Linked DNA regions of Lytechinus pictus. The protein of the gene in region 2 purifies or fractionates together with the protein of the main gene of each other region. This does not show direct contact. Links are inferred from orthologs where the notes say so. Each region holds a gene or a part of one and is shown on either strand. Other genes may lie near its edges.

The links.
Region 1: the proteins of DNA-directed RNA polymerase II subunit RPB7 (region 2) and putative RNA polymerase II subunit B1 CTD phosphatase RPAP2 purify together in Homo sapiens (affinity purification with mass spectrometry; 5 studies listed by BioGRID and IntAct, counting the BioPlex papers as one, with this or other methods). This does not show direct contact. The link is inferred for Lytechinus pictus from reciprocal best matches to the Homo sapiens genes POLR2G and RPAP2.
Region 3: the proteins of DNA-directed RNA polymerase II subunit RPB7 (region 2) and transcription initiation factor IIB-like purify together in Homo sapiens (affinity purification with mass spectrometry; 3 studies listed by BioGRID and IntAct, with this or other methods). This does not show direct contact. The link is inferred for Lytechinus pictus from reciprocal best matches to the Homo sapiens genes POLR2G and GTF2B.
Region 4: the proteins of DNA-directed RNA polymerase II subunit RPB7 (region 2) and mediator of RNA polymerase II transcription subunit 26-like purify together in Homo sapiens (affinity purification with mass spectrometry; 6 studies listed by BioGRID and IntAct, counting the BioPlex papers as one, with this or other methods). This does not show direct contact. The link is inferred for Lytechinus pictus from reciprocal best matches to the Homo sapiens genes POLR2G and MED26.

What each region holds. Positions count from the first base shown.
Region 1 is NC_087259.1:3,805,734-3,813,774, forward strand, and holds the start of putative RNA polymerase II subunit B1 CTD phosphatase RPAP2, read left to right. Parts: upstream 1-4,892; 5' UTR 4,893-5,032; coding exon 5,033-5,085; intron 5,086-8,041.
Region 2 is NC_087251.1:16,537,502-16,545,837, forward strand, and holds the start of DNA-directed RNA polymerase II subunit RPB7, read left to right. Parts: upstream 1-5,314; 5' UTR 5,315-6,097; coding exon 6,098-6,234; intron 6,235-7,176; coding exon 7,177-7,336; intron 7,337-7,894; coding exon 7,895-7,945; intron 7,946-8,336. UniProt on the Homo sapiens protein: Core component of RNA polymerase II (Pol II), a DNA-dependent RNA polymerase which synthesizes mRNA precursors and many functional non-coding RNAs using the four ribonucleoside triphosphates as substrates.
Region 3 is NC_087259.1:26,430,861-26,438,628, forward strand, and holds the start of transcription initiation factor IIB-like, read left to right. Parts: upstream 1-4,419; 5' UTR 4,420-4,487; intron 4,488-7,768. UniProt on the Homo sapiens protein: General transcription factor that plays a role in transcription initiation by RNA polymerase II (Pol II). Involved in the pre-initiation complex (PIC) formation and Pol II recruitment at promoter DNA.
Region 4 is NC_087255.1:33,530,087-33,537,896, reverse strand, and holds the start of mediator of RNA polymerase II transcription subunit 26-like, read left to right. Parts: upstream 1-4,641; 5' UTR 4,642-4,836; coding exon 4,837-4,899; intron 4,900-5,207; exon of another isoform or gene 5,208-5,472; intron 5,473-7,810. UniProt on the Homo sapiens protein: Component of the Mediator complex, a coactivator involved in the regulated transcription of nearly all RNA polymerase II-dependent genes.

The DNA.
Region 1 (8,041 bases), on a different chromosome or scaffold from region 2:
GCCCCCCCCTTGAGAAGCCAAATTAATAATTTGTAATGTCTGACAAGAGGATAGAGGATATTTCGTCCGCGAAAAAATGTGACAAGCCCCCCCCAAAAAAAAAAAGGGGTCTTCACCCCAAATTATGGATTTCTTAGCTGAAAAAAAAATTGACAAGCAAAAAAAAAAAAAAAGATCTTCACGTTCAAAAAAGGGGACATACGTCTTTTTCATTGCATTTTTACATTACAAATTATTAATTTGGCTTCTCAAAGGGGGCACGTCCCCTGAATCAGTTGTGACTCGTCAGAGGGACAGTCCCCCCCCCCTTGGTACACTAGTGGTTCCATGCTGATACAGCGTAGATCAGAGTCTAGATATAGAGACTAGACTAGAACTAAGATAATTTTTTTTTAGATCTAGGACTGGTTTTGTATACGGACTAGACATGGCAAATAAGCTAATATTTGTCTAAACCTAATTAAACGTGAAGTTCGGAATTAACCAGTTCGAAGTTAACCATGGCATTAGTCGGCTATTCAGTGTTGTAGTCAAGGCTCAAACCTCCAAGGCCAAGGCTTTAATACCCAAGGCCAAGGCTTCAATACCAAAGGCCAAGGCCAAGGCATGGAAACCCAAGGCCAAGGCCTGAAAACCTCAAGGCCAAGGCATTTCAAACTTACGATATACAGAACAATGAACTAACAATACTTAGGCGGCAGACATCACACATGGTAAAATGTATGTGAGCGAGGGGACTGAGCGAGAAAAAAAATTAACCTTTGTACATTTAAAACAAAAATAATTTTATGATAGAGACATATTAAAATAATGATATAGTTACCTGTGTACACATAATCCATAAGTTTTCTATAGGCGATTTACATTGCAATAATTATTAATACCACGGTCATCTGATCCTGGCATTCTCAACGTATGTTTTTATCCACTCCCTGGGACAGGGGCAGCAGAAAATTATTATGGGGGGGGGGGGGTCAACGTAAAAAGGCACCCATTTATCAAAATGAGTTTTTTTTTGCAAACAGATACATGTATTTTCAAAATGAGATTATGAACTGCGTGAAGTAATTGTGTGTTTTATAGAAATTAAGTTGAGCAAAGGCTTTCTAAAGTGATTTTTAATTATAAGATAGATATTTTGCTTTAGGTTTTACTTCTCAGCGAGAAAGCATAGCGAGCAAGCGGTTTTGAAAAAAAAATCAATTCTGATGTTGTAAAACTTGATTTATGGTCAATTATGGGGCTAATCATTGTTGAAATTTCCTTGCGCGAATCACCAGCTCAAACTTCTTGACATGTCGTGTAATAAGACATGGAAATTATTTTATTCTGAGCTGGTTTTGTAATCATGAAAAAGATGTGTATCTAACTAAAAAAATAACTTTGCGCTCGCTAATTCTTTTTATATACTGACCAGTAAAGGAAGCAGTTAATTAAGCAGTTAATTACTGCATTTTAAATAAGATACATAACTCACCAATAAAAAATAATGCGAGCGCAAAGCGCGAGCTCAAAAATTTGTTGTATTCCAACCTGAAAACTGGACATTCTAAGCATTTTTTTGTGAACGGGAAGAGAACGAGTACAATAATTGATGCGAGTGCAGGAAACGAGCCAAATATTTGTGATATTTCAACCATAAAGCAACATTCTGTACATTTTTGTAACCATTAGCAGTACTGTACTAAACAATAATTGATGCAAGCACGATTCAAAATCTGTGATTTTCGAACCTAAAATGTATTATGTTTTATTATTAAAGAAGGTATTTCTTTTTTAAAAAGGGCATATTTCATTTGGAAAAACAAATCCTACAGGAATTTTTTTTTTTGGGGGGGGGGGGGCAAGAGAGCACAAAGCGCAAGCTAAAATTTTCAAATGCTTAAACTGAAAATGAGTCATTTTTAGGACTCTTGTCAGTTTTCATATTTTTTTCTGCTTACAACCACTTTTATTAAACAGTTAATTAATCATTAATTATTAATACTTATTGATAATATTAATAATTATTAATTATTAAATAATTTTTTGTTAATTATTATTTCTTGAAACAAAAACAAATACGTTGTTTATTTCCTTGAAACTGTAGAGAAATGAGATTCAATGTTGAACGATATATGATTAAAAAGAAGTAAACACTTTTCCCCTTTGTTTTGTCAATCTGACCCAAAACAAATATAAAATTTAGAAGAGAGATAGAGAGAAGAAGAAGTCCCACCACCAAGAATAAACTTAGACAAGGGGGTAAAGGGAAAGGAAAAGATGGAGTAAATGTGATATTATTTTTTAAACAATCTATTGCAAAATTAGCTTTTCTTATAGAAAGAGGGGGACAAATTTTGTTCACTCGCTCGCTTCAATCGCTTTCTTCTTTTTTTTTGACAGAAATTTTGCTCTATATATGCCATGCTTGGCCCCTCAAAGTTTCTGGCTCATCATGCCATTGACATAACCCATTTGGATATGACAAAATTGGAGACTGTGTTCAAGTTTACCAAATCTTTTCAGAATATCATTAAGACTTAAAACATTCTTGTTGGCCAAAGAAAATAATACAAGGAAAATCCTAATGGAATAGAAATCAACCATGTTATCGTTCTTTAGAGTTAGCTATGTTTAAAGTATGAAAATTGTTGTCAAAATTGCAGTCAGATGTAAAAATTATTCTTGTCATCAAAGCACTATTATCTTGATCATGACCATTATCATTTACTGTCATTATCATCATATGATTACAACACATTACCAATACATAATGCTTTTTTTCATACTAGTAACTGATGTATTCTTTGTTTGAATTTCTTGATAATGGTGACAATTACAATTGATGACACTGCTAGTACACTTACTACTGCTGCTGCTACTGTTACTGGTGATTGGTAGTATTGACCATTAGTGTTATTAAATATATATAAAAAAAAACAATTGAAACATTTATAATTACTTATTTAAAACAAATGAAAGTACAAAATACAAATTGCCTTGAAAAAGCCTTGAAAATGCTTTGAAAATGCCTTAAAATTTCAAGGCTCAAAATCCTCAAGACCAAGGCCCTCTCAAGGCCAAGGCTTTGAAAAAGTAGCTAGGCATTAAGGCGCCTTAAGGCCAAGGCCGAGCATCAAGGCACTACAACACCGATTAGTACTAGGCATTAATTAGACAGGTCCAGATTTGAGGTAAAGTTAATGCGCTAGCCTAAGCTAGCCCTACCCTAGCACATGTATTGCCATTAATGGCAGCTAGTTTATTAAGTGTTTAAGAATTAGATATATATATATATATATATATATCTATATATATATATATATATATATGTATATATATATATATCTAAGCCTATAAGACCTATGTAACTATGTAAGGGTACCGGTAATTTGACGATGCTAATTCATTCTGAGCAACGTGAATGCTTACGATCGGCACTGGTCGTGGACGCGCATGCGTACTCTCAATCCAAAGACGCAAGTCATGAATATTCATATGTCGGTCCAGAACTCGGTGGGAAAAATAATTTCGCCGCCGGCCCATTCGATGACACCCAGAGATTGACGTCATTTATTTTCTGAATGAAACAAAAAAATGGGTATATGGTCCCAAAGGATAGGTCATCATGATACTGCAATCTCTATATCTCATTTTCCTGTGAGCTTCATGTTTATTCCACAAATCCCTTCTGGGATCCATTTTATTTTTCACATTGTTCTTTTTAATTATTTAAAAGATCATAGGGATGGTTGTTCTTTTCTTTCTGTAGATTATCCCATGATTATTTTCATGAATTTTTTTTTTTTTTATACTTTGAATACATGACAATCCCCTCCCCTTCCCCCATTTTACTGGATAACAATCTTGGTTCTTGTAGCACAAATCTTAGACTGAAAATTTCGCTGTTTCAGAGGAGTTTTTCAACATTTTCTGATTTTTGTCAGTCCTCCTCCTACTATTATGGAGGGAGGGGAATCAGGGGATGACGCGAAGCCAGACGAAGTCTCAGCGGAGCACATCCTGTATGACCGAAGTATATTTTTTTGGTTCCTTGTTGTAGTTCCTCTCTCTTAGCTGATCCCTCCACTATTTGGAGATTCCTAGGGTCCAAGGAAACAGATTTGTTCATGTACACTGTCATTCTGGCTTAGGAGATTTGAACCATATCAGAACGGAATACGTCAATTCTGTGGAGGAAAAAGAGAGATTAAAAAGTAGACTATTGTGTACTTCATTGGGCAAACAAGAGTGAAATGGTATAAGGGTAGCCTGAGTAAAGACCTGTGGGTTGACATTGACATAGATTGACGCATGTTGGGAAGTCCACAAGGCAGTTCTTGACTTTGCCAATAAACACTTGACGGAGATGGTCTAGGTTAGGACACTGCCCAGTAAAATGTTCCACAGTCTCGTCGGCAGATTTGCATAGAGGGCAAGTGCGACTGGTTGATTTCTTCAGCATGAAAATACGACACTGTGTTAAGTAGGTGGATGTGAGGAGTTGAGCTCTCACCACAATGCTCTTCTTTAGACGGGAGAGGGTACACTTTTCGGGTACAGGAGTTTAGCAGAAGGAGGTATACAATCTTGCCAGTACTTAAGAGATGGCTTGGAAAGGATTCCTTGACATGTGTTGTGTTTGGTCAGCAGGTTCACTCTGTAATTGACCAATCTCTTCCAAGATGAGTATACGGGAGGATTCGAAACTAGGCTGTGAAGATCAGGAAGATCGTACTTCTTTGCTATCTCCTGCAACAGCTGTATCGTAGGAGAGCATAAGTTGAGGGCTTCTGGGAATGTTCTAAACTCGAAGCGGCTGTGATCGAGGTTGACGAGTTGACCGTTGACTATCTAGACCGTGGTACATGAATACTTCGGGTTGTACCCCCTCTACTGTCTTGAACAACACAGTTTTTATATTATTAAAGATGTCAGCGCCCATGTGAAAATGTGCGCTCTTGCACTGGTGATATGTTCCGGCGAATAGAAGAACTTTGCTGTCGTATTTTACAAAGTTAGATGCCCTTATTATCTGGTATATTCGAAGATGTCAGCACTATCGGGGAAAACAACACATGTCGGAAAATCGGATGAGAAAAGGTATATCTGCTTCCATGCACTGTCAAACACTTTGGTTTTTAATGTGTGTCCCCACTTATTGATTTTTGTGTTATATGTGGTCGCCAAATCAAAATCAGCAGTTCTCGTTTACTTTTGCGCTTCTAACGTTCTATTTAAAGGTCAAGTCCACCCCAGAAAATGTTTGATTTGAATCGATAGAGAAAAATCAACGTTAATTCCACATGTTCATGGAGGAATTAATCGTTGTTTCACTTGATCTTGTTGTTGTTGTTGTTGATCTTGACAATGAGGAGAAAATCCCTAGAACATTTCATATTTTATATTATATATGTAAAATACAAAAGAAATAGTGAGTGGATGACGTCATCATCAGTCTCATCATTTGCATACTGAGCAGGATGTGCATATAACTGTTTTGTGAAATTAAGTGAAACTTAAAAATATAACTTTCTTAGTTACCCGATTTTGATGAAATTTTCAGTGTTACTGTTATGCTTGTTTGATTTTTCTCCTTTTATTCAAATCAGATTTTTGTTGGGGTGGACTTGTCCTTTAAGAAGCTCCTCCAAATTTGATGGCGACATGTTCACCATGAATTAAAAGATGGAGCTAACATGGCTAATGCAGTTTCGCACCGGTCATTGGGACAAATTTCCCCATCAGAGATTGTTTGCAAATCATCATTCATGAATCATGGACATGGCAAGTCTTGTTAACATTCGCTGACTAACATTTCGAGGTGAATGCCCACCGCTTTTCCGAATATCGCGATTGGGAACGGCTGTATTTTGCCTCGATCTCAACGCTATTGTTTGAGTTCTCAAGCTCAGACATCGCTTCACTTGACTTCGCTGTAATTTTGATATGGACTGAAGTTTAGCGACTAAAAGATTTGCCGCATTTATGGCGAAGCCAAGCCAAGCGATGTCTTACTGAGAATTTGAACGATCAAGGATGTCGAGATCGAAGCCATTCCTGGTCACAATATTCAGAAAAGTAGCGGGCATATTGATTGAGGGACTTGCTGTGACATTCACAAACAATTACTGCTGGGCATCATAACCTTGTTCATTGAATGAGTGCTGCTTGGAAAATATGCTTTGGCTGGTGCGAAACTGCATTAGTGCCAAAAGATTGGCATAGTCATGGATAAAACTCCATCTATCTCTCTCTTTTATATCTGTGATTCTGTCAACTTGTATCCTACTCCGTTTTATGGTCGGAGATCGCTGACAACCATACTGCAGGCCCCTATGCTAATGAACAAATAATATTTATTATTTATAGTCCTCTTGTGGCTGAATTCACTTCCCTACAAAATCTTGTGAATTGTGAGACTTTCCCTCTCAGAGAATTTTAACACTTCATCTACAAGTTAAATTGAATATTATTGCACCATAGGAAAGAATAAATGTTACTCTTTGGTCATTTATTTTGAATTAAATATTTTGATAAATAAGTGAATTTCAAGCCTGAAAACATGTCTTGAAATGGAATTTGAAGAGATTACCGCATGGTGAATGTGACCTTAGAGAGGCCCCAGCATGGAAACCGTTGGAATTTGGGTAGGTGCGTGGTCTCTTACTAATCATAGTGCAGTATTCTAGTTTTCAAACTGTAAAACTTGGATCTTGACCCATTTAAACACCCCTTCTAGGCCAATATCATTAAAGCTGAGATCCTCAGCTTTAACATAATCTCAACATTTTGACACAAACAGAAATATAATGTAAAAACAAAGACTTGTTGGATGAAAATGCTTATTTTGTAGCATGTTTTAGATCAAAAGTTTCACCTATATAACAAATTCTTTTTAAAAATTCAGACACAGGACCTGAAAGAAGAATGTCTCCATAATTGATACCAAAAACATGAAATTTGATCAATATTTGGAGCAGCACTGGCCGAATGAAAAGTGGTGTTTTGGTCTGCACACAGGTCATTGAATATGCAAAACCTTTCTACTCATAAATATATCAAAAGATTAAAGAATAAATGAAGCTACGGTACTTTTTGAGGACCTGCCGACTGACTATCAGATGAAATAACCGCAGACAAAATCAGACCTCGAAAGTTTGCTTAGAAGATTTTGGGAACTGTTGGGGGACTTTAACTTGCACATTTTGGAGGAATTTTTATGTAATTGATCTTAATAAAAAAAAAATGTTGCTCCTCCTACAAAACTTATGGAGTTACATGTAGGCCTACGTGTACCACAGTCAGGTGGTCCGAGATCATCAGCAATATGCTGCAGGACCAAAAGAGTATACGGTATTACAATTACACAGCAGTCAGAGGCATGCCAGAGGGGTTTTGGGAGTTAAAATTGGTGCACTGCACAAGTGGATTGGAATGATGGGCGAATGATGTAGCGAAGGGCAATCAGAGGTCTCACAGGCCTAATTCATTCCCCATAGACTCGTGTGTTAAATTGGCACTTTAAAAAATTCATAAAAAATAAGGATGAAATTCGGGGGTCAAATGTTTACTACCAGTGGATAGGATATATATCTGGCAATCCATATCTGACCAGAAAAGGGTCCCTCGACCGGCTCATTTTAAAAATAAATTGGCGTGTTTGAAGACACCGTCGGGGGGAGCAGATTCATCACCTCAAACAGCAAAAAAGCCCTAATCCTTCCGCCAGTCAAAATATAGTCCAAAATTTGTGATATTTCTTCCCAATTTGGGAAAAGGAAGTTCAGTAATTACCAAAAAAAGAATCAGTGTTAGATGGACAATCATATGCATACAATTTGTCAATCAGCCATATCAAAATTAAAAAAATAGCAATGGGTTGGCTCGAATGAATATCTCTTGCTTTCCCAATGTTAATAGGCCCGTGTAGCCCAGAGTGGTTGTAGAGGATGCAGAGTGGGAGAGAGTTGGATCATGATTGCTTCACTTTAGTTTTGATGTGAAATTATGGAGTACTTTTTTATATCAACAGCATATACACTAGACCGTTAAAAAT
Region 2 (8,336 bases):
ATTTTTTGAAACATTTCTCGCACCCATGTAATCTAAGTCATGGTCTATACTTAAATTGAAATCTCCCCCAATTATCAGAGAGCATTCTTCACTAAATACAGATGAAATTATTTTGTCCAAATCAGAAAGAAAATCACATTGGGCCTTTCCTTTATCTCCTGTTGGAAAATATACACTTCCTAGTATCAACTTTTCACTTTGACATTTACCTTTTATTATAATATATCTTCCGCCTTTGTCTATTAAAACTTTTTCTATCACAAAATCAACATTCGATTTAAACATGAGAATAGTTCCCCTACTGTGATTACTCCCGTGACTAAAATACATCTCCCCTTCCCAATCAGCCTTCCAACTATTTTCAATATCTTGTGTGCTAAATGTTTCCTGTAAAAATACTACATTTCCTGACCTTTTGCACCATTGAAAAATTTTCTTTCTTTTTACTTTATCTCTTAGCCCTCTTACATTGACTGTGAGTATTTTTAAATTACCCCTCATTGGTGAAGAGTTGCCACAGTGATAGGACACGAAATGGTGCATTCCCTACTTCAGAAATAAGAGCTTTTAAGTAAAGTTGAAAATAATACAAGTACAGACAGACACAGAAACTTCCAATTACACACATAGCACCCCACTCATTCACATCCACACCAGAACTGGAAAACATACCACTCAACGTATCACTCCACTTCATCCCAACAAACATAACACATACACTTCTGCAAACATACTCAAACACACGCCCATAGACTATCCTTTGCACGCACAAACACCCCAAGACACTCTCACAAACACCCCAACACACGCACACCAGCATGATTGACATATATCCTATAGACCCGCAGTTCCGCCCCCCCCCCCCCCCCCCCCCCCCCCCCCCCGTTATAGAGCAGCCATTTGTATGCTGTCCATATTAACATTATCTCCCTTGTCTACAGAAAATATCTACCTATATAACGCTGAGAAAAAAAAAATAATAATAATAAAAGAGTCCGAAAGAATAACCTGATTCTGTGTTTTAGCCCTTGTCCCATATCAAAGCTAGACTTAAAACGTTTAGACCTTCATAACATTTGGAGTGAACACATGTAAGAGTGAACCCAAATAAACCTACATAATAGGATATAACTCACTTGAAACGTATAGCATACTTAAAGATACCAGTCAAAATGAATACAGGACATCCAAGAGGGTTCTTATTGTAAAAGGTATTATCTGACTGCACCGATAAAGGATACAGTTGATACTATGTTCCAACCTGTCCAAACTATTCCTATTCTTCTACATCCTAATTGAAAAGCAAATGGCAAAAACTCTTCCGGATACACAAAAATTCCCAATAACAATAACATCGTTCCAATAAACATATACAGCAGGACTTGTATACCTGCATTGGCATATTTGTTATTCTTCTGTAAACCAATATGAATGAGATTTGGTATGAGAAGAGCTACTACCATGTGTCCTCTATTTATAATAAGCATGATAAGTGATACAATGAATGAAAGAAAAAAAAAACACCTTTCAATCAATTCAAATCAAATGACAATACCAACAACAAAGTCATGATTATCCTTAAGAATGTATACGGGAATCTTTCAGACTCGTTCTGTGATGTAGTCATACATGTTCCACCCACTAGACCCATTACATTATGAATGCATGCATGGAACAAACATTTACCCCACACAATAAACGTCATTCAAAATCGCTCTGTCCCCCAGTTCATCAGAATAAATGACAAAACTCTTCAAAGTACTTGAGATCCCATGTAAAATAGCGCCGTTCTAATCAGAACAATCAGAAACAAATGAGAGCAAATTTCTTGTCACTCGAATAGCTGGTTACTTTCAATAACATTAATGGAGCTATTCAAATTGCCTATGCTAATTTGTTTAGAGCCATTGTAACACAGATATCCTAATAATGTACTCTGCCAATTAAAGCTATACCTGCCTGAAGCAAAATCCTTCCACTCCTTCATTATTTTGTTTCATTGAATATGTAGATCAATAACCCCTAAAGAAATTTCAAAGACTCTAATTGTTGGAAGTGTCATTCCATGTGACTATTATCATTCAAAAATTCATGGGATGGGCGATAGAAAAAAGACTTAATGCATAATCACCAGCAAAAGGATCTTGCTTTCAACTCAGGGTCATACAGACGAATGAATTATCAATACAAAATTGCAAATGCACACAGAGCTATTCATCCTGTCTACCTTCATTAGCAATATTTATTCTTTTATAAACCGATTTAAGGTTATGCATTTAAATTAGACTGTGCATTGCATTACTTTTTCCCCCTTTTTTGGGCTAAAAGTGGTATAGTGAATGAGCCAAGAAACCCCTTCCTACCTTGCAAATTCAAGCTCAAAATTAATTAATTGCAAGTTAGGTAATATTTTTGTACCTTATTGTTTCAACACACCAAAGATTAGTGCATTAACTCTCTCAAAAATATGTAAAAAATTAAAGAATTTTAAAGAATGTTATTTAACATCTTTTTTGCCAGTCCCTCTCTCTCCCTCCGCCTCTCGCTTACAATAATGACGATACCAATGTACGATCGGAATGCGCTATTTTTTTTTTTTTTATCCAATTAACATCATAACTTTTGAAGGAAGATTTACCTTTTTTGTCTTCCTTTTTTTCAGACAGTTACTCCTCCTATCCGCTATACAAAGCGAAGAGATTGACATAACCAGATACATGTAGCTATAGATATTGGCATCAGACCTACAACATTTAACTAGCATTCCTGTCATTATTAGAGGCAGTCCCCGAGAGCGTATAGAGAGGGAGAGAGAGAGATAGAAAGAGATCATAAAATAAAAATGCATATTGTAAATACATACAATGTATACGCATATCCACTTATTTATAATGGATAAAAAAAGTATCTCTTCAAATCCATAGTTATTTTGCAAAGGAAATCCATACTTATTTTACAAAGTAGCTCCACAGCACTTTAATTCACTGCAGTTAAAAAAAAAAAAAAACTGCAACTTAAAATGCCATTTCCTTTTTCCTCCCTTTCTCTTGGTTTGAACTTAAAGTTTTGTTATTACTTATTCCCACAAATATAAAAGAGAAATGGTGAAAGAAAAAAAAAACAATAGAAGAGGCTTTCTTTAGTAGGCCTATATTTTTAAATATTTACTTGGTACATATAAGAAGGCCTAAGAATAGCCTGCACAAGCAATCAGAGCCACTTTAGGCTCTAATAAATATTTATTTAAAGAAAGAAAAAAAAATATATGTATACAGGTCTATGTTACTTTTACACAAAATAAAGGGTGATTATTCCATGAACGTCTTCTAGTTTCTTCATTCTAGTTTCTTCTCGTTGCATAATATCTTTGATAATAAAAAAAAAATATCAGCTCTCTAGCTTTCCACTTTTGAACATTGCGTCTCCTTTCCTTCCTTGCGTCAAAAATAAGATAAGATAAGATAAGAGTACGCAATATCTTTTCTCACACCACGCTTTAGTTATTGCTGTTATATTTTCCTGTCTTCTTTGTCCTGCATTTCTCTTCCTTTTTGTTTGAATAGGAATATTCTTCAATCATCCTCATTGCATCTTTCAGAAATAATATACAATTTTGGTTTTAGTTGACTCGCATTTTGTTGTGAAATATTCATCAAACTAAATTCTTATCACAGTTTAACAGTTTAAATGGTGTTTAGAAGGGTCTCACTTTGTGAAAACCTCTTTAACTCCGTAGTCTAGAAAATTAAATGCTTAGTGTAAGCGAATGTAAACATAACTGATACTTATCCAAGCTTTTCTCCTTGTATTCTCATAGCGCCAGTTGCTTATTCAGGGAGATTGGGCTCTGCACCAGTAGCTACCTGAAGACGTATTCCTGGGTTACCGGGATGTGTCTCTGTAGGAAGTTGCCGAATGAACACTTGTTGTCTCTCCCGTGGCACGTAAACTCGATCGATATACAATTTCCAAGGTTCGCTTCGGGAGAAATAAGCCATCTTACCTGAAGACCGGGCTGCCTTTAAGGCTGGCAATTGAGCTCTTTGACGTTCTCTTATTCGCAGTGGGAGATCCTCTGTAATAAACATGCGTGAACCTTTCAAATTCTTCGCCCTTAGAAACACAGCAGCGCGATCTTTATATCTTAAAAATCTTGCAATGATGGGGCGCGGTCTTCTGGCAGAGTTGATCCGATGGGCTCTTTGAAATTCAATCCTATCTGCAATCGCTCTATCAAATCTAAGATGCTCCACAAAAAAGTCCCGTAAAAGGTTCTCCACATCTTCCTGTTGATTACCTTCTACTATTCCGTGAAAAAGTAAATTTTCTCAATTAATGTATGTCTTGAGACTGTCAATTTCCTGGTTGACTATTTCCTTATCCTCCTCTATTTTCTGCTGAAGTTCTGAAATATTCTGTCCATTAAAAGTGACCGAATTCACAACATCGTTAAGTTTTTCTTCAAATTTCTTTATTTTGGCTCCAAAGTTAAGTTCCAAAACTTGAATTCTTTCTAGTACCTTTCCTATCTCCTCTGCTAACATATTCTTAATGGCAGGCAAGAGAGCAGGTCCTTCGGGACTAGAGCCGGTAGATGGTCGAGGGCGTTTCCCGCCTTGTTTCCCTCGATGACCGCTCGACATTTTCGTAGTTACCGATATTTTTTCAACTTCAAATATCCACGTTACATAATGGGAGAGAGGAGGCGAACCCGCGATACGTGTTACTCAAGGACGAACATGCTGATATAATTTCATGTATATACTTATAGGTAAAGTGCGCCATCTTTTGACAGATGATGATGAAAGTGGATTGAACGAGCAAGAAAATAATGCTGAGCGCCTAGAATGCAGCTAGCAGTACAAGCTGCAGACAAACGGTACAAACCGGCATAAGAATAATATCGCATGCCCTCTTTAGGCAAAAATTGATATCCATGCTGATCAGGAGGCATCTACATGAAGATCAAGCAAAAATGCTTTTTTTTAATTAAAAAAACAGCAAAGAGAATTCAACAAACGATCATATGGTTCGGTAAGTGTCATAGCACAATTAGAAATCTTAGCTATAATGGTATGTCATAGTTATTTGAGCAAAAAGGGTGTGAAAGATTCGCGTGCACCAGGTGCATATGAATCCTTCGCACGCGAGATGAATTGAACCCATGGGTGGCACGGGCCATGGCGCATGCAGCACTCGGAGTCGTACTCGCATGGCCAAATTCAAATTGAACACAAGCCATAACCTTGTTCTCTGTAACATCTCCATCAAACATTGCCAACCTTATTGTGCCACACATGGAGTGGCACAATATAAGGTTGGCAATGTTTGGCTTATTTTCTCTTTTTCTTTGGGACAAATGCTTGATTTTTTTTACACTATCAGTATCAGTTTCCATTACAGCTATTCATCATATAACTTGGCTCTTAAGTAAATTTGATTCTTTGAATATTTTTTCTTAATTAAAAATAGAGATTAAAAATGAAAATTTTCTTGCCATATTACTTTCCACTAATAGAAGGGCATGTTATACACAAAAATATGCCCAAAATTCAAGTTTTTGAGCGCTCTGGTGAATACAAAAATTATTCCCAAGTTACTAATGAAAAATATATTGCAACTGTACAAAAATTAGTATTTTGGGGCACAAAGTGATATCTTAATGATTTTTTAAAGTGTGTGCTGTATACTGCATGGGCTCCAATATAATTTTAATCCTGTTGGCCCAAAATAGTTATATTTTTAACTAATATTACACATAATGAATGAATTAAAAGTAGAGGAGCGTTTACTCACAGACTGTTATTGTCGCCATCTTGCCGTCTTAGTTATCGTAGCCTAGCTACAAGAAGCGTATAGAGGGCGACAATATCATGAGCAGTGCAAAATTAGAATTTAAAAAATACTTGTAGTTGTATCGGCCAATAAATATCATGAATCTTAGCTGAAAGATAATGCTTTGAGATGCCTCCACTCAGCAATCGATATGTCTCAAGCTGCTAAATCAAATTATCAATACTTGGTATCAAAATAAAGTTAAAAATTTCTCATGATCATCCCATTTTGAAAATGGCATAATTGTTATCAAATTAAAAGCATGAAAGATTCTGTTTTTTTTCTCCAGGTATCACTTGAACATGAAATTCTCCTTCATCCAAGATACTTTGGACCGAGCCTACTCAACACTGTCAAACAGAAGTTGTTCACTGAAGTAGAAGGGACCTGTACTGGGAAGTGAGTACACCCTCCTATTTTGAAATTTATGAATAAGCCTAAGCCACTTTCAGGATAGCACTTGTGTCAGCAATGATCCCCCTTTAAAAGTATGATGAAAAGTAAATCAGTTTATAACTTTATTAGGGAATCATTCGTTTATTGACAATGACATATTTTTCTTTTATCAATCAGTTATATATGGTTGTAAAGTTTGATGGAATATAGGAATCAATTGTATGAATGCAAATATTTACACATTGTGCAGCACTCAAACCAGGTGAGGTAAATGGGTATCGGCAGGAAGTAATTCTTCAAAAAGCTGTGTGCACCGGAATCTGTAGACTAGCGTAATATAGGAGCGCCTTGAGCACCTAGGAAGGTGGATACGTGCACGATACAAATCCTATGTATGTAGTTCCTTGTGCACGGATTATTGGGTTATTAGGGACTTATATTATCAGGACTTATATTATCACACAACAGTCAAAAACATATTCGGCTAGAGCCTGTCAGAATTTAATCATGTTTCCTACATGTTTGAATCACATGAAATATTTTGTTATTGGAAGCTTTTGTATGTTTTGTGAATTTGGATAGGTTTATACATTCTGATGGTTGATCTAAACCAAAAGATTTAAAAAAATAATTAAAAGCTCACCAAAATAGAACCTATTGAGGCAGAGTTTCACTTGTCTGAATATATAAACGTTTAGTATTGAAGAGGATCTCAGACTATGAGTAGAAATATCTGTTATGAACAATGTTTTTGAAGGAATGTAGCACACTGTTGCATGATATTCTATTCTAATGTAGGTATGGCTTCATAATTGCTGTTTAGGACCATTGATAACATTGTTGAAATGTCTAGTATTTGAGATGGTTTCTGAATCTTAATTTATGGACTTGTATGTTTTTGTAGGAATGTACCTTACTGATGACATTCTATTCTAATGTATCTAGGTATGGCTTCGTCATTGCTGTTACGACCATTGATAACATTGGTGCTGGGATGATACAACCAAGCAGGGGCTTTGTTCTCTACCCAGTCAAATACAAGGCAATAGTATTCAGACCATTCAAAGGAGAGGTAGTAGATGCTGTAGTCACACAGGTCAACAAGGTGAGAATTTGATTTTGGACAATGAGGTTACTACTGACCAAGGTTAAGATGATAGGTCACATATCAAGTGACCATGACCAACAACCAGTGTTGGTGATTTGTGATGTTGGTGATGATGTAAGTTGGTCACCTTGGAAACAACTGATAATCAGTCTCAACTGGGTGATATAGTTTAAATTTTAACTTGTGGGTGAAAGCTAATGATATGAAGGTAATATTTGTCCACATTGCCGTTTCCTGTAATAACTTTACTACCATATCTGATTACTTATGAATTCATGTACTTGCAATATGGGTATGTATTTGTGATACTAGTAAAGTCATTTCATTGAAGTGGTAGAATTTATAGATACATGTAAATTCTGGTACTGCTATAATATTAGTGATATGAATCAAGTTTTTACATTTTCTCAAGTCTTGCTGATTTAAACCCCATTCTTCCATGTGCTTGTTTTTTTTCCATGTGCTTGTTTGTTTAACCTGACTAAAGATAGAAGTATAGAAATAAATTTTACTTTGAATTTTCCTTTAATACATGTATATCTTAATTTTTCCTAGGTTGGCCTTTTCACAGAAATTGGACCTTTGTCATGTTTCATCTCAAGACATGTGAGTACTTATTTTTGTCTCACCTGCGAAGCAGAGTGAGACTATAGGCGCTGCTTTTCCGACGGCGGCTGCGGCGTCAACACCAAATCTTAACCGAAGTTTTTTAAATGACAGCATAACTTAGAAAGTGTATGGACCTAGTTCATGAAACTTGGCCATAAGGTTAATCAAGTATTACTGAACATCCTGCCGTAGTTTCAGGTCACATGACCAAGGTCAAAGGTCATTTAGGGTCAATGAACTTAGACCATGTTGGGGGAATCAACATCAAAATCTTAACCTAAGGTTAAGTTTTTGAAATGTCATCATAACTTAGAAAAGATATGGACCTAGTTCATGAAACTTAGACATAAGGTTAATCAAGTATTACTGAACATCCTGCTTGAGTTTC
Region 3 (7,768 bases), on a different chromosome or scaffold from region 2:
GGTTCCATGCTGATACAGCGTAGATCAGAGTCTAGATATAGAGACTAGACTAGAACTAAGATAAATTTTTTTAGATCTAGGACTGGTTTGTATACGGACTAGACATATTAAACCATGGCAAATAAGCTAATATTTGTCTAAACCTAATTAAACGTGAAGTTCGAAATTAACCAGTTCGAAGTTAACCATGGCATTAGTCGGCTATTCAGTGTTGTAGTCAAGGCTCAAACCTCCAAGGCCAAGGCTTCAATACCAAAGGCCAAGGCATGGAAACCCAAGGCCAAGGCCTGAAAACCTCAAGGCCAAGGCATTTCAAACTTACGATATACAGAACAATGAACTAACAATACTCGGGTGGCAGACATCACACATGGTAAAATATATGTGAGCGAGGGGACTGAGCGAGAAAAAAAATTAACCTTTGTACATTTAAAACAAATATAATTTCATGATAGAGACATATTAAAATAATGATATAGTTACCTGTGTACACATAATCCATAATTTTTTTATAGGCGATTTACATTGCAATAATTATTATTACCACGGTCATCTGATCCTGGCATTCTCAACGTATGTTTTTCTCCACTCCCTGGGACAGGGGCAGCAGAAAATTATTATGGGGGGGGGGGGGTCAACGCCAAAAAGGCACCCGTTTATCAAAATTAGTTTTTTTGTGCAAACAGATACATGTATTTTCAAAATGAGATTATGAACTGCGTGGAGTAATTGTGTGTTTTATAGAAATTAAGTTGAGCAAAGGCTTTCTAAAGTGATTTTTAATTATAAGATAGATATTTTGCTTTAGGTTTTACTTCTCAGCGAGAAAGCATAGCGAGCAAGCGGTTTTGAAAAAAAAAATCAATTCTGATGTTGTAAAACTTGATTTATGGTCAATTATGGGGCTAATCATTGTTGAAATTTCCTTGCGCGATGTTGCGAGCGCGAATCACCAGCTCAAACTTCTTGACATGTCGTGTAATAAGACATGGAAATTATTTTATTCTGAGCTGGTTTTGAAATCATGAAAAAGATGTGTATCTAACTAAAAAATAACTTTGCGCTCGCTAATTCTTTTTATATACTGACCAGTAAAGGAAGCAGTTAATTAAGCAGTTAATTACTGCATTTTAAATAAGGTACATAACTCACCAATAAAAAATAATGCGAGCGCAAAGCGCGAGCTCAAACATTTGTGATATTCCAACCTGAAAACTGGACATTCTAAGCATTTTTTTGTGAACGGGAAGAGAACGAGTACAATAATTGATGCGAGTGCAGGAAGCGAGCCAAATATTTGTGATATTTCAACCATAAAGCAACATTCTATACATTTTTGTAACCATTAGCATTTTACTGTACTAAACAATAATTGATGCAAGCACGATACAAAATCTGTGATTTTCGAACCTAAAATGTATTATGTTTTATTATTAAAGAAGGTATTTCTTTTTTTAAAAGGGCATATTTCATTTGGAAAAAAAAAATCCTACAGGGATTTTTTTTTTGGGGGGGGGGCAAGAGAGCACAAAGTGCAAGCTAAAATTTTCAAATGCTTAAACTGAAAATGAGTCATTTTTAGGACTCTTGTCAGTTTTCATATTTTTTTCTGCTTACAACCACTTTTATTAAACAGTTAATTAATCATTAATTATTAATACTTATTGATAATATTAATAATTATTAATTATTAAATTATTTTTTGTTAATTATTATTTCTTGAAACCATATTGACACAAAAACAAATACGTTGTTTATTTCCTTGAAACTGTAGAGAAATGATATTCAATGTTGAACGATATATGATTAAAAAGAAGTAAACATTTTTTCCCCTTTGTTTTGTCAATCTGACCCAAAACAAATATAAAATTTAGAAGAGAGATAGAGAGAAGAAGAAGTCCCACCACCAAGAATAAACTTAGACAAGGGGGGGGGGGGGAAGGGAAAGGAAAAGATGGAGTAAATGTGATATTATTTAAAAAAAAATCTATTGCAAAATTAGCTTTTCTTATAGAAAGAGGGGGACAAATTTTGTTCACTCGCTCGCTTCAATCGCTTTCTTCTTTTTTTTGACAGAAATTTTGCTCTATATATGCCATGCTTGGCCCCTAAAAGTTTCTGGCTCATCATGCCATTGACATAACCCATTTGGATATGACAAAATTGGAGACTGTGTTCAAGTTTACCAAATCTTTTCAGAATATCATTAAGACTTAAAACATTCTTGTTGGCCAAAGAAAATAATACAAGGAAAATCCTAATGGAATAGAAATCAACCTTGTTATCATTCTTAAGAGTTAGCTATGTTTAAAGTATGAAAATTGTTGTCAAAATTGCAGTCAGATGTAAAAATTATTCTTGTCATCAAAGCACTATTATCTTGATCATGACCATTATTATTTACTGTCACTATCATCATATGATTACAACACATTACCAATACATAATGCTATTTTTCATAACTGATGTATTCTTTGTTTGAATTTCTTGATAATGGTGACAATTACAATTGATGACACTGCTAGTACACTTACTACTGCTGCTGCTACTGTTACTGGTGATTGGTAGTATTGACCATTAGTGTTATTAAATATATATAAAAAAAAAACAATTGAAACATTTATAATTACTTATTTATAACAAATGAAAGTACAAAATACAAAATGCCTTGAAAATGCCTTAAAATTTCAAGGCTCAAAATCCTCAAGGCCAAGGCCCTCTCAAGGCCAAGGCTTTGAATAAGTAGCTAGGCATTAAGGCGCCTTAAGGCCAAGGCCGAGCATCAAGGCACTACAACACTGATTAGTACTAGGCATTAATTAGACAGGTCCAGATTTGAGGTAAAGTTAATGCGCTAGCCTAAGCTAGCCTAGACAGCTGGCAGCCGTCTGTTTCGAGGAATTTTTTAACATTTTTTTTTTTTTTTTTTTCTCCTCATACACAGACGGCTCGCTAGCGTGCAGCCACCATTAGGGGACTTGCAATGCAAAATCCCCCCGTCGGGGCTCTTCAATTTTTGTCTTTAATGAGTAAAAAATTTGAAAATTCACGCGACCAAAATGCAAATTAATATTCCCTCTTGGCATCAATTGCCAAAAAACGGAGAAAAATCAAGTTAAAAGGAACAAAAACAGTGACTTACCTCGGCTGTCGCGCAAATTCACTTCCCCGTTTTATCCGATCTTAAGTACATAAACATATGGCCATTGAGTCCCCTGTACAGATCGCGCTAGAACTTCGGTCTCTGTATTTGGTGAGTGAAGCCAACGGAGTTCAGCTGAACAACCAACATAACAGAGACCGAAGCTTTTGGTCTAAAGCTAGCCCTACCCTAGCACATGTCTTGCCATTAATGGCAGCTAGTTTATTAAGTGTTTAAGAATTGGATATATATATAGATCTAAGCCTATAAGACCTATGTAAGGGTACCGGTAATTTGACGATGCTAATTCATTCTGAGCAACGTGAATGCTTACGATCGGCACTGGTCGAGGCCAAGTCCACGCGCATGCGTACTCTCAAACTGAAGACGCAAGTCATGAATATTCATATGTTGGTCCAGAACTCGGCGGGAAAAATAATTTCGCACCCCACCCCCCCCCCCCCCCCTTCACACATGCACAGTTAACCCAGGGCCAGGCCATGGCCTATGGAGCTCCGGGTCGCAAAGCGCTTTGCGGCCTGGAGCTCCCTGGCCTGGGCCGGGTTATTCAGAGACAGAGTCAGCTGACTCACCACTCGAATGCCTTGCTCTTATTACTGTTTTTCTTGACAAAGGATTCCCAATACTCGGCAGAATTAATGTCTGATGACGATGCTGTTTCCGGCAAGAGATCCATTGTGAAAATTTTCCTCTGTCACTTAAATCAAAATATTGAAATCAAGTCAACATTTCAGCTCTCATCTGCATCTCAGACTCGTCTCAGTGTAGATCGTTCGCGCGCTTGAGTGCATGCTGCCCTCTAGCTAGTTCTACAGCAGCTGCACCTTCGGCTTCGTGTTTTGACATTTACCTATCATCCTATGCCTTTAACTATAATCCTGATCTTGTAAGTGATTCAGATTGATTTTTCTGTTGCCCAAGACTCTATTCAATCTAGGGCCCCAATCTAGGCTGCTATTTATATTAGTAATGTTAATCAAATTGAAATTAGAGTCTAATTGAAGAAGTGTATTCGTCCGTTTTTCTTTTCTGCCGTGTCAAAAGACTAGCGCTTCCGCGCACGGGGATTTAATTCCAGTGCAATTGAGTTAGTACGTCACGGAACTGTGATTTTATCGCAGGGCATGTGTGTAGAAGAATCGCATGCGCCGGTAATAGGAATGGCAGGCATCCTTTTCTGTCGCGCACTAATGCTAATATTAAAAAAAAGTAATATAGTCTCAACAATCCTTCGGCAGATAATCGTTAAAATACCCCTTCCGGTATCAGCGCTTCTCGCTAGCATAACGGGAAGAGGTCTTGACTGCAGATAAAATCAAACGAGGTGAGTTCGTTGGAGTCCCAACTAGTCTAAGACTAAGGCTAAGCCTAGGACGGCTAGGAGTAGGTAAGCAAACAGTAAAAAAATGATAGAAAAATCTGAGGTGATCGAACCGGAAGTCTCAACAATCTTACTTTTGGTGGGGGGGGGGGGGCACATAGAACTTTCCCCATAGGCACACAGTAGACGGATTCCCTGCACGCTGATTGGCTGATTGCGCGACCCTCTTCCCTTCCTCGCCCAGCGCTGTGTGTGAGAATCTTTACACCGCGCGATCGGCTGACTCACGGAGCACAACACTCTGTCTTGTAAAGATGCCAGCGTGTAGATTTCGGGCGCATGTTCGGATGATATCGGCACTTCGGCAGGCAGTGTCCGAAGTCTAAGCAAAACATGTGGTTTTCATCGGGTTACGCAAGGCCGAAGGCCGCTTGCATAAATTGTATTTGCATAGAGTACAGTGCACAGCGTATTTATAATGTACATGTATACTTGTCTGTACTGAATTCTGCGTTGCCCCCGCGATAGATGAATTTCCTGGTAGACTGCCTTATGATTAGATGCTTGGCGCAGACTTCATACATGTATATTAATGTCCTGTAAATTAACTTTGTTTTTTAATAGAATCATTTGATGTTCTAAAAGAGTGTATTTGTAGGATGTTTGAACCCTGAAAGGCAGTACATTTTATTAGAGCATATTATAAGTTGTATTTTCTGTGTGCTTACGAGAATTCATGTACTTGTGACACTTTGTCTGGAGTGTGGGAGTGCTTCTAGACTAGCATGAGTCTACCCAGTTGTATGGACAGGTTGTGTGTCCGGACGATCAATTTTAGAAAGTCATTTGGAAAATTTTACAAGCGAAGTTTCATCAATTTTTAATACAAGATATTAGGAAATATTATGGAGAACAAGATGATTACAACCATTGAATTCATACTTTTAGTGTAATGCAAAGACAAAAAAGAAGGCTTCAAAAATATAGTGTCCGGACGCCCGACCCCCCCCCCATCCTACAGCTACGAGAGTGAGAACGAATGTGACGTGATTGTGTGTTATAATTTTCATATTCTATTTGACTTAATTGTTGGTTTATAATTCAATTATTTTTCATTAACTATTTGACAATTTTCTGTTTTGCTGGACAATATCATTATAAGAGTTTGAGTATTCAATATCTTTGTATTATGCATTTTTACTCGTGCTAAGGTGTTTCATCAACTTTCAGACAGGAATCTTAGAAATCAATTTTAACAGAAAATATTTTTTTATCTAAAATTGATTTTACAGGAGATATCAAAGTGATTGTTTTCAGAAAGGTGGTTTAATCAACGATCTAAAATGGGATTATTTAAAATTCACAATAGTCATATAAAATATATTTTCTATATCAAAAAATTATTTTCATTGTCAATATATTGAGATTGATGAAACACATGTAATTACAATGACTGAAATGTTTTTAACAATATTAGAGCTAGTATTATTGTTCTACTGAACAATTCAATAAAGATATTGAGCTATTAACTTTTTGTTTATTTCGTTCATGTTCACGAAAATATTATACTTTTGCATTTTATTGGAAAATGAAATACTCTCCCTCCCCATACCCTCTGCCCAATTCCCTCAGTCCTAAACGTTGTTTACAATAAATGGTTATCATTTAATACCAATATAGGGTTTTTGGTGGTTTTTCCTCACTTCGATGTGCTGAGAAAATAGAAATTCCAAAAAAAAGGGGTAGACTCCGATCTCGCTGGTCTAATCATGGACTAATTATCTGGATGCCGATGGTAATGTAATTTTCTTACCCATTTTGAAACATGGTGCATAATAATGGAATGTTTATATTAGATGACAAGAATATATCTGACCTCTATTATATCAAAGTGCAAACAATATCTTATGTAATAGATTTCAGGCTTTAAATGTCACAGCCACGGCAATGGTGACATTTCATGAAATAATTGTGAATGTATTTATGAAGATATCGTCAGTACCTAACAATGTAAATAAGATACCGTATATGTAACCGTATGTTATCTATGGTGATTGGGAAATCTTTACCTTGGATCGGGAGGGGTACGTGATTCAACAGATTCCAATAGAAGTTCACATTCAACAATCTGACTTCAAGAAGCATATTTCTGATGGAATTGAACAATTCATCGAAAGATATATATATCAAGTTAATTGATTTGTCTGAACGTTTAGGAGCATGTATTTCGTCTGTTCACCCCTATAGATCTACACGAGTTGATACTATTTGTATTTGAATATCGTTGGAAATTTCGATGAATTGTTCAATTTCAATTGTCTTTATATATTTTATATCTGAATAACGCTTCAAAAATAGTTATCTTTACAACGGCATCGGCCTAATTTGTAAGAGTGCCTATTTATGAAATGATAGTTGGAATGTGAACGAGAACACTCGGCCCTAAAGCCGATGGCACGTGATCGTGTAGTATTGCTTGAAAATGGTGTTTCCCGAATTCCCGTCAGCGTCATTGGGTGAAATCCTCTTCTGTAACTTTAAAACTGCACTTCTATGGAAACTTACTGAATCACTCACCTCTCCCCACCCATGGTACAAGAAAACATTTCCAAAATCGCCAAAATTAAGATGTAAAGATTAATCAACCATCATCGTAATCAGCAGTGACAACATTCGCTTCGAACATCCCCCCCCAACACACACACATGATCTCAATTCTCAACATCCCCTCTTCATTTATGGACCACTTTCTCTTTTGCTCGATCGCTCTTTGCGACCATCCTACCCCCCCCCCCCTCTCGCACACTACACGCTGATGCAGAGTAGCAACAGTAGCTCCATGAGTGTGGTATGCAAAAAGAATTAGGCCTGTCGAACTATTTTCATAACATTTAGAATCGTATTTAAAAAAAAATCGTGAGGTACATGTATGCATTATGAAAACATTCGTGATCATGGGTGAACAAATGAAAGAACAATAAAAATCACTGGCGGATCCGGGGGGGGGGGGGGGGCACAGCCGGCCTGCGCGCCCCCCCCCACCATTGAGAGGCACAAGTAAAATTTGTAATTTAAAAATGGTGTTAAAACAGAAGCGTGCCCCCCCTTAGAAAGTGAAGACCAGATCCCCTTAATTATTTTTGGTTGAAACCCTTTAAAAAAAATCCTGGATCCGCCCCTGAAACAAATGAAAATACTTATAATTCATATTAAAAACGAAACAATTGGATACGAATTATAAACTTTAACAGAAAGCTATTAATTATGAAAGTTATATTAATTTT
Region 4 (7,810 bases), on a different chromosome or scaffold from region 2:
TTAATTTGTATTATACATGATAGTGTAATAACTAATATTTACATGATAAATGAACTTGATCACTCAAGTAACCCCCCCAAAAAACAAAAACAAAAAATCTAGACACATCCATCAACATGACAGTTATTCAGTCAAGAAGAATTTTTTTCTAAATGAATTATTATCTTTCAGAATTCTACACTAAGCATTTATTTTCCAACAAAACATGTTTTATTGTTCTATCACACTTCTCTGCTTTTTTTTCAGGTTCATAATACATGAAAACAGAAAGGTTGATAATTTAGTCCAGAAGTGTACAGATAGGGGGTACTTGCCCCCACCCCACCTCCTCCCCGATAATTTTCACAACCAGAAAAAAAAGAGAGAAGAGTAAAATATAATGATATTTCCTGAATTTTATGTCAAAATTTTTGGTCGCTCGCTAGCAACTGTTTAATAAATCTTGCCCAATACGCCATATATCTAGCCCCTCACATTTTTTACTGATTACGCCGCTCTTATAATTAAATATCTATTCATTGTCTGTATCTCAGGCCCGAATCTCCGTAATTTTAAACATCCTGAATTCCCAGTCAATCACGGAGCAAACCACTGATAATCTGTATACTATAGTATAGTAGTCAGATCAGTGTACTATCAATCGAAGTAGAGGGCGTTAACACTTTTTAGTTATATACTATAATAATGAACTAAATTCCGATATTACAAAAATCATTTGAATGGGATCTACTTTATTCACACTTCTGCTTTCATTTTGATGCGAAGCTATATACATGTAATTGTAATACTCTGGACAAAAATTGTCAGTTTGTTCAAGCACAAATAGATATTAAGATGTGTGTGTAATTTGATTGATTTACACCATCTAATCAACATTAAAATATTTTTTATATATTTTGAAATGTATATGAATTTGATAGATTTATTTTCTAAAAGTGTGCAATGTTTATAATGCACTGTTAGGAACAATATTGACATTTCAATGAAAATCCTTTTTTTATGAATATTATTTTCAGATCCTATTTTGTGATAAAAACATGTATGTGGATTACATGAATTCTACAAATTTTCAGAAATATTTGTTAAACTTAATTAATAAAAAAAATTATCTCATATCATTGAGGGTTGTATGAAAGAAAATAAATCTATTCTTAATAAACCTTAAGAAACCTGTGGAATTTATGATTACAGGACATGTATTCTGACCTTTCGATGCAAAATACAACTGAAAGTACATGTAAAATGTGACAGGTCACTGTCGTTTCTTCAGCACTAGGAATTAATCGCTTTATGGGTCCAAGAAATTACACACCTTCGGACCTTAATTCCCTTTCCTCAAAACTCAATACATTTCTTAGAATTGGCGTATAGAAATATTGGATCGCGCTGCAAGATGGATGAAATTAGTTTAATTTTCGCGAGCTGAAGGGTTTTTTTTAGAGAGAGATTTGATTTAATCCAAAAGCCTGATCATCATAAGCATGTAAGCACTTTGTTATCATGAACAGGATATGCGTGCCTTCATGCCAGCGAGCTGAAGGTTTTGATTATATTACCTGAAAAGGTAGTATTTTAAGGACTGTTTATAATGATTTCCAAAAGAGACCATTATGTATCTCATTAATGAAAGGGGTATCCCACCCGCGGGCTGAAAATAATTTTATCTAAATAACTATAGTAAATTTCATAAAGCAAAATACTGAAAAATTCTTCAAAATCTGATAACAATCAGAAAGTTATTGATTTTTTTAATTTTAAAATTAAACTCTAGGCCTACATTTTGTGAAAAACAGTTATGCACGTCGATGATAATGTCATGTCCCCACTTTCCTTTTTCTTATTTTCAAAGCCACATGCAGAAATTTCGAGGGGGGCAGGATGTACGTACGCGTAAAAAAAATAAGAAACTCAAAAGTGAGGGAGCGAAGCGACCAAGCTTGTCATTGAGGTGCATTTGCATTTTTAAAAGTGAAATTGAAGGATTTTATGCACACTTTTGGGGAATTTTGTGAAAAATTTTAGTGAAAAAAATGCAAGTTTTCAAAATTTCGAGGGTGGGGGGGTGGGGGGGTGGGCGCAATACCAATTCGGGGTCATTATTTTTTTAACAAAGTGGCGCGCCCTCCCCCCCCCCCACCAGTTGTGTACGGCTGTGATCATGTTTACATGCAATCACAATAATTATTTCAGATTTTCATGCATTGTGTGTATGTCTCCCAGAATGTAAAATAAGTTGTAGCGATGAATATAATGCATAGTCATAGTTACCGTATCCCTCTAAATATCTCGAAGCGCAAGCAAAAACATGTCTTACATGTATTACAACAAAATGATATCATAGGCATCATTTATTTTTCTTGGAAATAGAAGGTAATGCGAACACAAAGCGCAAGCTTATAGTGAAATCAAAATTTGTTTATTAAACCAATTCATTTTAGTTCCCCAATCACTTTATTAGATTTTCTTCTTATTTTTTTTTATTTTTCTTTCTCCTTTCTTTCTTGGTCTTCTCTTAAATTCCTACTTTTTGCGCACTGCCATGTAGGGGGCGGGTCACCTCCATGGTCATCCCCTGGAAAGTTTTCGAAGCAATTTAGAGATCATGATCAGGATGCGTATCGCGCTAATACAAAATACTGCAAACTCGAATCGCGAACAGAATAATCTGTGCATATCGACTTGAAAATGGTAACTCTTAAACCTCATGTTATCCGGGGGTATAGATGTACGGGGGTATAGATGTCCGGGGGTAGATGTCCGGGGGTAGATGCCCGGGGGTAGATGCATGTCCGGGGGTAGATGTCCGGGGGGTAAATGTCCGAGGGGTAGATATCCGGGGGCAGATGTCCGGGGGTAGATGTCCCATGCAGGGGTACTTGTTCTATATAGGGGTGGATGTCATATATAGAGGGTGGATATCCGAGGGGTGGATGTCCAGGGGGTAGATGTTCTAGAATCCATTATCATAAAAAAACTTATATCCAATCACAGGAAATGGGCAAATCACGTGCCGTGGCGGACTTGCCCCTGGGACGGATCGCCCCGCTCTCCCCTAATGTAATTGCTGTAAAAGTGCTTCAGGGTGTAAGTCTAAGAAAATTAGCTTGTGCTTCGCGTCATTATCATTTTAGTGAGATCGTGATCATGAATACTTACACAGCCTTGAGTCGATCTTTTAGGCCCTATACCTACATATTATATACAGGCATACTGACTACTGTACCCCAACAAATTCCAGGCCCGCGCTTCGCTCCGCGTTGTAGATCAGCGAGTGAGATAAGCGGACTCATGCAGTGGCGTACCGTAGGTCACGGCATAGGGGGGGGGGCACCTACAAACATTTTGAGTCACTTAATTAGTGAGGGCGCGAAGCGCGCTCAATTGCCAGCCTTCCAGGCCTTCAGTACAGAATTAAGGCTGCACATTCAGACCCTAACTCGAGTGAAGGGTTTGCCCAGCAGACTAGGGGGCACGTGCCCCCCCCCCCGTAGTTACACCACTGCGCGGACCTTCACTAGAACAGTACAGTCATGCTTGTAATAAAAGCTTATTGGCTATATAAGCCTATAGGTCTATGAAAAATATTATAGCTCGATTGCATCAAAATAATATTTAGGCCTAATACAACAGGAATATACCCCCAAAAATCTGATAAGGCAATCTGCAGTCTTCCGGGCTATATTTATTGGTAAATCACTGAATTCTCTATCCTTAGAACATATTTTCCAAATTAAAGGTCAAGTCCACCTCAGAAAAATGTTGATTTAAATCAATAGAGAAGATCAGACAAGCATAATGCTGAAAATTTCATCAAAATCGAATGTAAACTAATTAAGAAAGTAATGATATTTTAAAGATTCGCTTATTTTTCACAAAACAGTGATTTGCACAATTCAGTGGCATCCGAAGGAGACAGTTGATGATGTCCTTCACTCACTATTTCTTTTGTTTTTCGTTGTTTGAATTATACAATATTTCATTTTTACATATTTGACAATAAGGACCCATTACTTGACTGAACCATATAGTATTAATAGGTAATGCTAAATTCGACAGGATCAGGGAGGAATTAATTGTTGTTCACTTGCATGACAATGAGGAGAAAATTAGAATATTTCATATTTCATCATAAATACAAAAGAAATAGTGAGTGGATGAAGTTATCAGTCTCATCATTTGCATACCGACCACGGTGTGCATATAATTGTTTTGTGAAATTAAGCAAGAGGTCATAACTTTCTTAATTTACAACCGAATTCGATGAAATTATGCTTGAATTTTTCTCTTTTAATTCGAATCATCTTTTGTTGGGTGGACTTTTCCTTTAAGTATTTTGGTTTCAAAATGATTAAAAATACGCTTCCGTCATCCGCAAGTAAAGTTTAAATAGGGTTTTTGAAAACTCACTTTAAAGTAAGGGTATCTACCCGAGGGTATACTTCATTTTATTCGGATTGTATTACTCGAGTTACAAGAAATCTTCCCCAATTATTATGACAAAATTGCCCCATTTCACCGCGGTCTCCCTATAAATAAATCGCTCTCATTTCTTTAAAACAACCCAACGGATTGTCAACGAATGGGCATTGTTGTTCATGCTTGACTGTGTTCGTTTGTATTTTTATAACTTGGGATTTTTTCATAATTTTACATTTTGTTTCTCCTGTGAAATTCAGTGTGTGGCGCCTAAATGTGACGTCATATCGCAAGTTCCTGCCGCGATTTCCCATAAATCACCGCGCTGATATGTGAAAGAAATATCCGCGATGTCTGGATACTGCCTTTCGAGCAGGAATACGGCACTAGGGCTCCGTTTGGCTGCTTAGAAATGGTCTAATGCCGCCAACCCCGAGTCAGATAAAGGAGCTGCTGCTCAGTGCAATCGACAAAGATGAAAATGTAAGCATTCACTTTTCTTATTTTTATGAGGATTCCTCACATTTTGACTTAATTCGACAGTCTTTCATCCACTGATGATTGCAATGATATTCCGCCATAGCCAGCCGCGTGCTAAAGACGATCATTTTTTTGGAATAAATGTCGCAGATTTCGGCGAGAATTCGTCGCAAGTATTGCCTGTCAAAAGACGTCGCCATATTCAGATTGAAGCTTGACTTCTGTAGACAAAACTGGTATATATTCCAAGTCGACTTACGGCAGATTTTAGGTCGAATTTAGCGTCAATTTGAATGTTGTCACGATTTTTTAGAACGGCGAAGGTCCATGTACACGGTAAGCTCGCCTGCCGCAGAATGAATTGTTGACCCATTCGGGGCCTATGAGAGGTCTCGCCGAGCGCATGCGCAAGGCTAATGGGATCCCACGTCGGTGAATCCACTCAATAGAATTTTTCATAATGCAGCAGGAGAGTCAAACAACGCTGCTCGGGCGCCCAGCCACAGCGGCTTGATCAGTCGGAAATGAACCGCAGGTTTGGCAGTGTGGCACTCCGCTCCTTCGCTCTTTCAGCTGGTGTGTATTTGAACACATGAACATGTATATATGTATGGTCATGCCCATTGCATGACTGGAAGTGGTATCACATTCATGCCTGCAGTCTGGCTTTGCCTTTCCTTTGCCATTGGCTTGGCTTTTGCCATCAATTAGTCAAGACTAACTTTATGACTATGTTCTATCAATATTTTATTAAAAAGATAACTTTTTTACAAGTAAATTTACCTTTGCTTTGAAAGTTTTTGGGAAGAAAGGAGAGAGTGTGAAGAGATTCCAAGACCAAGTTAAATACAAGTCAATGATTATTTATAATAGGGTCTATAAGACTCTAGAACTCTACTGAGTTGTTTCAGATCTAGACAAATAAAAATGTCAATCTAAATATAGTCTAGAGATCAGCTTGCTAGAGATCGTGTACATTTATTTTGATGTTAGTGGATGGTGGAAGTGGAACACTGTTCTACTTCTAAACTAAAGTCTTCAAAGGGTTCCTCCTTTGTGGGTCTAAAGAGATAAATCGTAACGTCTGCTGCCTTCTACATGTACCTAGAAAGGATTCGTGCCAATTTGATGAATACTAGATCTGATTATATACATGTATGTTGGCCATTTCATGAAATATTCCAGAATCCAGTTACTGCAAGAAAGTGTGGAAGATATATTCCTGGCCATAAGTTAAAAAAAAGAGAGAATCAAAGAAAGAGCTCATGCAATTGTTTTTTAATGCCTAGAAACTGCCCTAGTAAACTGGTCAAATAGATGCTCAGATAGGATTCATAGGAATTTGACACTTTTTTTAAATTCTAGGATTTTTCTTAGATTTAGTTCAAACAACATTATCTGGAGGTGATTCATTTATTTCAGCCTCGGGGGTTTTATTAGAAATATGGAATGAAAACAGAGAGGGATAGAAGGACAATGCAAGTAGTAATGCACAACGAGTATAACATTAACAAAATCACGATAAAATATACAAGTAAAGCATGAGATGGATAAAGAAGGCAAATTTTGTAAGATCAAAGGTAAAGCATATGTCGGATAAAACAACTATATTTTGTGATCAAAATGAAATCATTCACACCCCAAATATGAGATTGATAAAACTTAATTGCATATTGCAGTTTGGATTTGTCCCAAAATTGTTGCATTTCCAGATTTACCACTCATCCTAAATCAACCAGTTTTATAGTGTGGATTCAGACACCCTTATTTCTACTTTTATATCAGTTTCATCAAAACATAGATTTTGATGAGAGATGCAAAACTAGACTTACAAAGTTTAAAGGGGAAGTCTACCCCAACAAAGTGCTGATACAGGGGGGGGGGGGGATAAACAAAATTGATTACCGGTAACACTGCTGAACATTTCTTCAAAACCAGATGTGAATTTTCATTACTATTTATTTAGAATTTCTATAGAAAAAATATTGCTTTGATAATGAATCAAGAAGCAGGGCTTGACATTGACTTTAAATTTTGGTAGCCAACTGGCGGATCAAAAAATGATTTGGTGGACTCAAACACACAATTTAAGTGTGGTCCACAAAATGAAATGAAATTTAGCTTACAGATGGTATTTTTATTGCTTTTCCTCATGCATCAGCCCAATACCTACACATGTATGTTGATGAAAGGGAAGATCGTTTTACACACAAGAAAAAAGTCTCCTAGATGCATCACTGGTGTGTTTGGAAGTTGTGTCATACTGTCATTTATATTTTCAAGAGTAAGCTCTAGATATTTCTTGAAGGTACCTGTATATCAAATCAATTGTATGTTGCTAGAACTTACATGTAAGGTGGTTGTTCATACATGTAATTTGATTTTTGTTCATTTTCATTGTCTCGCCTGCATAGCATAGTGAGATTGTAGGCGCCGCTTCTCTGTCGACGGCTGCGTTATCAACATTGAATTTTTAAACAAGGTTAATTTTTTGAAATCTCATGAAATTTATTGTTTTATAAAACTTGGACATGAGGGTAATCAAGTATCACTGATCATTTTGCGTGTGTTTCAGGTCGCATTTATAACCAAGGTCATTTAGGATCAATGAACTTTGACTATGTTTGGGCCTTTGTAGTATCAACATTGAAATCTTAACCAAGGTTGAGATTTTGAAATGCCATTATACATGTAACTTCAAAAGTATATTATTAGATTGAGAGATTTGTGGTAACATCATGTAGGTTAGTCTTGAAAAGGATTGTTGGTTTGTCTTTCTAATAATATAGCTCTGAAATTTTTTTTATTTTCAATGTTTCAAGCACATAGGCTTTGCTCTTCATCAGAGCAAGCTTAGTCACATAAACACAGAAAATGTTGGTGGGTTGAATTGATTCAACAAACATCCACCCGC